Drosophila melanogaster: one gene and its partner. The protein of the gene in region 2 interacts with the protein of the main gene of each other region in a pairwise test. Each region holds a gene or a part of one and is shown on either strand. Other genes may lie near its edges. The genes, in order: CG15741 and ABCB7.

Region 1 (3,179 bases), on a different chromosome or scaffold from region 2:
TGAACATTTTATATAACAAAATATTGGAGAGAGGAGAATTAAAGGTTTTGTGGAAGGAGAAACGAGAAGCATACAAATATTTTTTATACTTGCAACTGTCGTCTTCACTTTATGTTTCGATTTTCAGCAACAAATTTTAGCCATCTAAGTCTACGGATATGATTTCGCATATATACACATACATATATATATATATATTTATATATATATATATATAGACATATAGATACGCAAATTGGCAGAACATTTACTTAAAACCCATACCTAAATATATGAGTATATACATATATCTACGTTTATGTGGGCATCTTATTACGATGTTCATTTCATGTCGTCGCATGTTTTCCCCTTAGTTAATCGAAAATCAAACAAAACAAAAAAAAGCCTATAAGACAAAAACCACAAAAAAAAAAAAATCTATCTTTTTTAATTCATTTGTATAACCGAAAGTGTCATAGAATTCATTTGAGAGGTCGATTCTAGAATTGATTCCACCATATAATATAATAAATGCATAAACTAAAAAAAAAAAACTCAGCAATTATCGTTTTTCTCTGCAAGGATTTTATATATATAATATTATTATATATTCACTTAAAATAACTTCATTTCGAAACAGCAAATGTATTTTTCAATATTTTTCAATTACTTTATTTGATTAAAAAAAAAGATATATTACGATGTGATGCAATCATAGTTTTTTCTGCGATCGGTGGGTTGATTTCGATTTCGAAAGGAAGAAAATATTTAACCACTGCGACGGGTGCGTCGGACTTTCTTGGTTTTCTTGTTTTTCTTGCTGTTCTTTTTCTTGCTCTTGGTGGTCTTCTTGTCCTTCCTGTGACGCCGGTTGACGTAGTGCCTCGTGTGCCGAACTTTCTTATCGCTCGACGATGATGAACTGGACGCCTCCGTGGTGGTGGTGGTCGTGGGAGCAACTGTCGTTGTAGTGGTGGTCGCCGTGGATGATGAGGAACTCGACGACGACGAAGTTGGAGAAGTGGACGAAGTTGGAGAAGTGGACGAAGTTGGAGAAGTGGACGAAGTAGGTGAAGTAGATGAAGCAGGTGAAGTAGATGAAGCAGGTGAAGTAGATGAAGTTGAACTAGCCACTGCCAGGAGGCTGGCGAGGATCAGTACGCAGAGGAATCGCATCTTGCGGCTTTGGGGCAGTGGTACTTGGAACTGTGCCTTTATCTCTATTCTAACCAGGCTTTTATAGCACCCCTATCCATGGCATCTAACGAGCATCCAACCGCCCGAAGATTAAACGTATATTTGGCCAGGGTAAATACGGAGCAACCAACACCAATCCCACCCCCCCCCCCCCCCCCTTCCACACATTTGTCATCTGTCTTGGATCTCCGGTGCTCCGATCCATGGCATTATTTTCATTATTTTCGCTATTTGCATAGAACACGCCCAGAATCCCAGTTTGTTTGCACACGAGTCACATAATTGGCACTATTTGCCAAAATCGAGGGTAAAACTTCTGTTCGTAATTAAAGAATTGTTGGAGCTGTGAGGCAGTTTAAAAATATCTTTTGTTTGATAGTTCTGTTTCATTTTTTAGTATATTATTTAATATATTATCTTAAATATTAGTATAACATATAAGAATATATCATTAGGAATTTTCGCATATCTTGCAGACCAGCGGAATGATCCCCTCAAAAGCTGGCCAAGATCTCTTCACTTTGGATTGGGCTGGAGTCCATTGGATACGGTCTGGTCTCGAGATTCGTCTGGCGAAACAATGTCAATGCCATTGACTAGTGGGATCTTAACTACACTTAAAGACTAGCTACCTATATTTGAAAATCAATTATAAGCAACAGTAATCATATTTTAATATTCTCTACCAAAGAATATATAATATAATATAATATAATATAATATAATATAATATAATATAATATAATATATAATCTTAGAGCAATGCTTGTTTATTTTTCTCTCTGGTTTCCGGAATTAGAGCAATTCGTTTACATAATACCATCAATCATGGTACAATCTTGAATGATTGATGAAGCCAGCGACTACTGCACAAAATCCCCAAATAGAGAGAGAGACTCGATTTCGCAGTTGATTGATTAGATCACTAAGCTGACAGACAAGCAAGCTCATCTAATTGCATTCGTCACAACGCAAAATGACATAGTAGATGGCAATTTGTGGCGATTTGAAATTGCAAGTGGTTTTTCGCCGATCTTTTCGAAAAAGAGAAATGGTTTGCTTGGAATTTTCTTCTTGCACGAACCGTTGCTGAATAAATATTTGCACCCAAATATGCGAATAAAAAGCAGCTCAAACAAAAATTCGACAATGGCCTCTTTTGTTGAATTAAGTGTTCCGATTGTCTTGCGACTTGACTTTGCTACGTTCAGGGTTGTCAGATTGTTGGCAGTTACTTTCGCTATCGCTGATCCCCCCAACTGGCTTGACCTGTGCACCTTTACTTTCGAACACGTTCCTTGATCGACTACGAAATGCAGCTCCTTAGTTATTCTGACATAAGAGCAGTTCGCTGGTTAATTCGATAATGACACCAACTAAGTTCTGTTCCAGCGACACGCAAACCCACATAAGATCAATTGCAAAATGGGGAATAATAAATGTATGCATAGTATATACATAGGGGCGCAATGGAAGCACGCTACGGAGGAGATCCCCAATCTCCGCCGATCTCCTTGTGCCACCAGATGCGCGTATCCGATTCAATTTCATCCACTCAGTTTCGCTTACAACGTCGTCATGTTTGGATCGCTTCTACTGGGGATTGCCACCTTGCTGGGCGCGATCTATGCCTTTCTGGTCTCGAACTTTGGCCACTGGCGGCGTCGCGGAGTCACAGAACCCAGAGCCCTGCCGCTCTTCGGTTCCTTTCCCAACATGATTTGGCCACGCCAGCACTTCACCATGGACATGCGCGATATCTATATGTGGGTATACGCATATTCGAGTGTGGTGTTATGGTCGTATATTGTATATATTCTTTGCAGGCATTACAGGAATACCCATAGCTATGTGGGCTGCTACCTGTTGCGTGCACCCAAGCTGCTCGTCCTGGAACCACGCCTTGTGTACGAGATCTATGTGAGCGCGTTCAGTCATTTCGAGAACAACGATGCCTCCAAGATGGTGGACATCGCCAAGGATCGTTTGGTCGCCCTCAATCC
Region 2 (7,357 bases):
GCCAGCGACGGGCAACAAGGTGCAGCACTACAACGAGTACAAGGCCCTGATCACAAGCATCTTCGGAGAGCTGACGCCGGAGAACAAGAAGCGAATCGAGGATCGGATCAAGAAGCAGCAGGCAAAGGCCAAGGCGGATGCGCAATCGAAACCCAGTACTAAGCCACCAGCCGCTCCACCAAAGGGCGGTTCGTCGCCGCCACCAGGTAAGGGCGAATCTGGAGGAAAAAAGAGATCCGATTCGTCTCCATCTGCGTCTATAGCTCCTACAGGTCCAGCACCCCGTAAGCCACTGATCAGTCTGCCAAGTAGACCTCCAAGGGGTGGAAAGCAGCGGTCCGGCTCGGCTCCAGCTCCTAATCTGGTTGATGAAGATTCAGCTGCTCGAAATAGGGAACCAGATGCTTCTGCATATGATGGCGCATCACCGTCAGCTTGGAAGAGATCGGGCTCTGCTCCAGCACCGAGTGTAGTTCCCAGGGCATCGGCCTCCCGCAGTCCGTCTAGAAAGTCACCTTCACCCTCTCACGACGGCATATCTCCTTCTACAAGACAAGAATCCTTAAGCAAAAAGAAATCAGGGTCGGCTCCAGCTCCGACGCCAACTTCTCGTGGACCATTCCGGACTGCGCCCTCCAATACAGAATTCATAAAGCGCAGACCTGCTAAAGATTACGGCAGTAGAAATGAAACCCAAAGCACTCCCGGGGAGTCGGAACTGGACCCAACAAAACCACAGCCCTAGTTTGAATCCTCCTTTGTAAGTCCACCAATAAAGATAGGTAATAGTTACAGAAAGAATATAAATATAAAACTTTACTTGTAATATCAACAACTTGTGGAGGCGACGCCTCCATTGTCTTTTGCTCAGTACTTCCAAAAGTTTGGATTCTGTTCCATGCGACGCTGGAAATTCGTATACCAATTTTGAACGACGGAGAAGGGCACAAAGGTCTCGCTCGAGATGGGCGGGATGTCTCTGGCTGCCACTCCGAAGCTGGAGGCGTAGTTGAAGAAGTTCTCCAGCATTCGCTGACCAAATTGCTTGTTGTCGTTGGCAGTGGACTGAAAATTGGAAATGGGGTTAGATTTGAATCGCAATTATTGCGCCAATCAAATCGGTTGGCAACTACTGATCTTCAGAACTTACCACGGCTGGCGTCTGTTGGGCCACCGTTAGCTCCGGTTCGAGGGAAACTCCAATCTGTGCGATGTGTGAGATCTCCTGGCTGCCGAAGACCATCCCGTGAGCCTGGGCCTCCAGCTCGTGACTCTTCTTCAGCTGGGCGATTTTGAAGATGGCGGAGGGCTTGGTGTTGTTTATGTGACCCAGATACTGCCATGTGGGTGCTGCGTTCGCGTCCGGCCAGCTGAAATATATCGCAGCGGAGGTGCCGACGGGCAGGGGTGATACGCCGGTGAGGAATACTACCAGGTAGTTGACGGATTCTATGTCGGGCACATTCACGAGCAACTTGGTGGCGTCCACGGCCACAAAATCCGATTGGGGCAGGCGTCCGGAGACTATCAGACCGAATAGCGACATTTTCGAGCGGTGGACTATTCCAGAATTCGATATGCCCGCTTTGTTGGGGGAGGAGATGTTATGGAGATGAGCAAAAAGGAACTACCTTATCGATGCTTTCTTTCCTAATGGTGTACAGCCCACTACGTTTCTAACAAAAAAATATATTGAAGTATATTGGAATTTGTTGCTTGCATATGTTCTGACAGTTGATGCATATTCCAAAATCCTAAAAAAAGATTTTTTTTTAAATTTTAAATGGAACTAGTTCAGGCGACTGCTACTTGGCTTGCCATTCACAGCGATACGGCAACTCCAAACAGCTGACGCTGCCATGCGAATGCTGATATCGTAGCAAAAACACAGGGACGGTGCGAAAGAAGAGGGATTTTATTTTGTTTTCGCCTGGCAATTGAGTAATGGCCGGACTCCTTCACCTGACCAAGCAGTGCAGCATCCACCTACCCGCCCACTTGGGACGCGCGAAATGCTACACACTCGCTAAGGGACCGGGAACACACGTGCAGGCAAGAGTGGTGAGTGCTCGGCCTCTAGACCCATTTCAAGGCCACCTGCCAGACTATCTAGACTAGATTACGGTTTCGTAATTACGCGTAAATACGCAATAAATTGGCGGTTTGATTGAGTGGGGACAGCCGGCGATCGGCGGGGAAAACAGTCTGCGTGTGCGTTGTTTTGGTCCTTCTCCACTTCCATCCGATCAATCTTGAATTAATGCTCCACGCTATGGCTTATTTCGTTGCAGCAAGCATAGAGTTAGACCAAAACAGCGCGCACGCACACAGACTTGGAGGATCGATCGGGTATTGGGGACAATGGGTCGCACGCAGCGTCGCCGGCATCAGAGGGCCAAGAAGTCTGACGAGAATTCGGGCTCCCTGCACGACCTCTACGTTCATCTACACTCCGTTGGCTGGCAGAACCACACTCACTTGTCGGCCCAATACTACGAACAGACAGGTCGAGGACTATGCTCTAAACAGAAGACCTTTTCTCCGGAGGATGAGCTCATTCGCCTGCCCATTGGCTGTCTCATAAGCATAGCGACTCTGGAATCTGATGGGCCATTCAAAAGTCTTTTCGACGAAGAGTTATTTGACAAGGACTCCAGAATTTCCTTTCAGGCACTGATAGCCTGTTATATTTTGTACCACAAGCACTTGCAGGAGTGTACGCTAGGGACTCACTCCTCTACTTACGCTGCATATTTGGACACCCTGCCCAGGTGCTACTCCACTCCGTATTTCTGCTCCATACCCGAGCTACAGTGTCTGCCAGAATCCCTGCTAGAGCGGACCGTGGCCCAGAACCGTCAGATAAGAGGTTACTTTGAAATTATTAAGAACATTGTACACAAATGCGATTGCTGTGGGAAGAGCTACGGCCAGGAGATTTGGACACTCGCAGACTTTAAGTGGGCCTACTTCAGCGTGAACACTAGGAGCGTCCACCTCAGTTCCCGCTTTCTGAAAAAGCAGAGCAACTACTTTCAGCCGCTTATCAGTGGCGACACCAACCTGGCATTGGCTCCGTTTCTGGATCTTTTTAACCACTCAGATCAAGTGGAAATCACAGCAGGGATTGAGGGTCCCGATTACGTTCTTACATTGAAATCTCTGCCATTTTCCGAGACCAAACCATATGATCAATTGTTCATCAGCTACGGTGCTTTGCCCAACTTTAAGCTATTGACGGAATATGGCTTTTGGCTAAGAGAAAATAAGCACGATTACTTTGAAGTCTCCCTACTGGACATTGAGCACATGATTAAGCAAAACAAGGAGCTATCAACGCAAACCTTTCACCGGAACATCTTTAAATTCATCAGGGAGCACAATCTGAACGATCAAATGTTCGTGCACATCGACGATGGATGCTCTCACAATCTAAGGGTTGTGCTGCACCTGATCTTCAAGCAGCAGGCCTACTTTCCCAACATCCTCAACCAGATTGCCTTTGGAGACGCCGAGCAGTTTCAGGACGTGCAGCCAGAGCTGTCGTACCTCGTAGAATATAAAATAAAGGAATACGAGATCTTTGGAGGAGAGCTGGATAAGCTTCCTAAATTGACAGAAAGTGGTGCAGTGGCACGGTCTTACCTCCAAGAGTGTATCCGTTACCTCGTTGACTTTCAATCGGTGCATCTAGCTGCATAGAAGCTGTCTAGGCTGAGCTTAGAATTTAAAACAAGGCGTTTAATATTGAAATGAATAGTAATAGATGTTAAAGAAAAACTACTTAAGTTTATATTATTTGAGGCATTTAAATTTTTTTTAATAAATCACAGAAAACTGTAAACTTTATTTTGTAAATGACCCCTTTCAGCTGTACTCTTCGCTGACTAAGGTTGATGATAAGAACAGCAGCGATGCCAAGCGGAAGAAGATTACCCCGTTTACGCCCACGCCGGGTAGCAAGCTCCTGGGTGGAGTATTCGGCAAGAAGGCCAAAGGTAGGTGCCGTGGGGCAGCATCAGTTACCCAGTAAATAACCAATGCTCGAGTATCCTGATTAATACAGCACCCCTGCAGATATCCGCAGGCTTTTTATTTAGTACTAGCCTCTCACGCTTTTTTTTTATTGACTAACCAACCCAAAATTGATTTTGTTTTGTGGACCGAGTACGTGCGTCCGTTTGTTTCTTTGTTTGTTTGTGCGCTTGTTGTGTTGAGCGCCTGTCTGAATTTGGCTGCATCCAAGTGAATTCAATGCAGGTGGAGCCCCAGCAGCAGCAGCAGCAAAAACAACAACGCTACAGCGGCAGCGACCTTACCGCCCACAACAACAGCAATCACGACTATGTCATGTTCATATAGGGGGCGGCAGCGATGGTGGCTCGGGATTGGGCAAGCTAGACGCGCCGGAGGTCACCTCCAAGGATATGCTGCGTGCCATGATGGCCTACATCTGGCCAAAGGAGGATCCACTGGTGCGAAAGCGGTAAGTTCATCTGACTATGACTGAGAATACTTTAATATCTATTGTTTTCCAAATTGACAGGGTGGGTATTTCCCTGGGTCTGTTGGCTGGCTCCAAGCTGCTGACCGTCTGTGTCCCCTTCTTGTTCAAAGGAGCTGTGGACACGATGACAACGCTGAACATGGACACTGCCCCGGATGCGGTCCTCTCCGCAGCCACCGCACTGATGTTGGGATGTAGGTTTCTTAGCCTGAGTTCCCTATCATAAAAGATCTTAACTGTCTAATTCACGCAGATGGCATTGCTAGAGCCAGTGCGGCGGGCTTTAATGAGTTGCGGAATGCAGTGTTTGCCAAGGTGGCCCACCACTCGATCCGAAAGATCGCCAGCAATGTGTTCCTGCATCTGCACAACCTGGATCTGGCCTTCCACCTGAACAAACAAACTGGAGCACTGTCAAAGACCATCGATCGAGGATCGAGGGGCATTAACTTTGTGCTCTCCGCCATGGTCTTCAACATTGTGCCCACTATCTTTGAGCTGGCCCTCGTGTCCAGTATCCTGGGAGTGAAGTGTGGCCTGGCCTTCGCTGGTGTCAGCATGGGCTGCGTTGGCATATACGCTGCCTACACTCTGAGTGTGACCCAGTGGCGCACCCAGTTCCGTGTATTTATGAACCAGGCGGAGAACGAGGCCGGCAACAAGGCCGTAGACTCGCTGATCAACTACGAGACGGTGAAGTACTTCAACAACGAAAAGTACGAGGCGGGTTGCTACAACGAGGTGCTGAAGAAGTATGAGGCGGCCAGCTTGAAGACTAGCTCCAGTCTCGCTCTGCTCAACTTTGGCCAGAACGCCATTTTCAGCAGCGCACTGAGTCTGATTATGGTATTGGCCGCCAAGGAGATTGCCCAAGGCAACATGACGGTTGGAGATTTGGTGATGGTCAACGCCCTGCTCTTCCAGCTCTCGATCCCCCTCGGTTTTCTGGGCAGTGTTTATCGTGAGGTGCGACAGGCTTTGCTGGACATGCGGGCCATGTTCACGTTGATGAACGTGGACAGTAGCATTCAGACAGCCGCCAATGCCCAGCCCCTGTTCGTGGACACCACTAACTCATCCATTGAGTTCCGCAACGTGAGCTTCGAGTACGAACCTGGCAAGCCCATTTTCCGGGACCTCAGTTTCACCATACCCGCCGGTAAAAACGTCGCCATTGTGGGCGGCTCTGGCTCAGGAAAATCGTCGATGGTGCGCCTTCTCTTCCGCTTCTTTGAGCCAAACTCTGGTAAAGTGTTGATCGGTGGCCAGGATATCAGCGCCGTGGATTTGGAGAGCCTGCGCAAGGTTATTGCAGTGGTGCCGCAGGATTCGGTGCTATTCCACAACACCATCGAGCACAATATCCACTATGGCAACCTGTCCAAGTCCCACGCAGAAGTGCAGAATGCTGCCCGCATGGCTGATTTGCATGACTCCATCATGAGCTGGCCAGGACAGTACTCCACTCAGGTAGGCGAACGTGGATTAAAGTTATCCGGTGGCGAGAAGCAGCGCGTTGCCATCGCTAGGGCCATACTGAAGAACACCCCCATTCTGATCTTTGACGAGGCTACAAGCAGTCTGGACTCGATCACCGAGCATGTGAGTGTTGAAAGCGACTAAGTGAACTTCTATAAACTGACGGAATCGGACTTCTTCCCTTTGTAGAACATTCTGCAGGCTCTGACCCGCGCTACCTCAGGACGCACTAGCATTTGCATTGCCCACCGTCTCTCGACAGTCAAGGATGCGGACGAGATTCTGGTGCTCGAGAACGGACGTGTAGGTGAACGTGGCACCCATTCGGAGCTGCTGAGGCAGAATGGACTGTATGCCCGCCTCTGGGAGACGCAGACGCAGCAGTTCGACCCGAGCCGGGAGATCAATGAGGAGGTGGCAGCGAAGAAGACGCGGGGCGTGGCGTAGACGAGGCTCCTAGCCTATTTATGTGTTTGTTATAATGTTATAACCATCCCCTTCGTTTGGCAATCCCTAGCCACTAAATTCACCGTAGAATCCTCCTGGACCGGAGATTCGCTATTCATAGGCTTAAAGTATCATTGTGACGTTTGTAAATACAGCTGTAGATATGCGATAAGAGAAATTGAACGGGATGTGGTACAATATGGAACATTTATTATCAGTTTTATCACCCATACATTCGGTTATATCGCTCTGGTTTCCAAGGTTTTGTTTCGAGATTTAATTGATTTGAGCGTATCGTTATGTAAATGCAAAATAATGTGATATTATTAAATGCATTTCATTGATATATAGACAAAACCAAGAGGATTTGTGTATATCCTTCAAATCGGACCTTCATTTCTTCAATATAAATTGTTATCCTCTGATTTATAGGCAATATAGGTTTTGAATTTGCTTAACCAGATTTAATATCGAATCTAGATACGGCTAAAACCGAAATAGTGCCGATGGTTAGCCTTCTCCTTCAATCTCCCCCCTTTACGGCCTGCGGAATGGGCACATCGTAGAGCAAGTACATTAGGCAGTTGCCAATGTGGCCCAAAAACTGCTGGTAGTTGGTAACCCGATGCTGGAACTCCTGCCACAGCGGCAGGACAGACCGCTCCTCGGTATCAGGCTGTTCTATCGTGATGCCCTGCTCCAGCATCGTTTTGTTGGTGTATGTGAACAGATACGAAGCTGGCTTCTGGCCAATGGTGGTGACCAAGTGGGTGATGTTGCTCTCCAGACCGATGCTCTTGCCGGCTGTCAGGAAATAGGCCTCCGGATCCCGCTCGTTCCGGTACCGAACATTTCCCTCAAGAATGGTCAGCGTGCAGTTGATAAGGTCCGGCGAGATGAAGTTGGTCAGAGTTAGTCCCGGGA

What was found.
Region 1: the proteins of ABCB7 (region 2) and CG15741 interact in a two-hybrid assay, tested with the Drosophila melanogaster proteins (one large-scale study listed by BioGRID).

The regions. Positions count from the first base shown.
Region 1 is NC_004354.4:11,836,856-11,840,034, forward strand, and holds CG15741 (uncharacterized protein), read right to left. Parts: upstream 1,172-3,179; 5' UTR 1,156-1,171; coding exon 748-1,155; 3' UTR 688-747; downstream 1-687. Other genes in the region: Cyp28c1 (cytochrome P450 28c1), read left to right, coding at 2,755-2,942, 3,003-3,179.
Region 2 is NT_037436.4:1,616,557-1,623,913, forward strand, and holds ABCB7 (ATP binding cassette subfamily B member 7), read left to right. Parts: upstream 1-1,857; 5' UTR 1,858-1,944; coding exon 1,945-2,061; intron 2,062-2,291; exon of another isoform or gene 2,292-2,361; coding exon of another isoform or gene 2,362-3,702; exon of another isoform or gene 3,703-3,841; intron 3,842-3,871; coding exon 3,872-3,998; intron 3,999-4,260; coding exon 4,261-4,486; intron 4,487-4,546; coding exon 4,547-4,701; intron 4,702-4,760; coding exon 4,761-6,109; intron 6,110-6,175; coding exon 6,176-6,433; 3' UTR 6,434-6,857; downstream 6,858-7,357. Other genes in the region: CG33791 (uncharacterized protein), read left to right, coding at 1-745; CG13926 (uncharacterized protein), read right to left, coding at 868-1,065, 1,151-1,546; CG33230 (uncharacterized protein), read left to right, coding at 2,362-3,702; GC (gamma-glutamyl carboxylase), read right to left, coding at 6,957-7,357.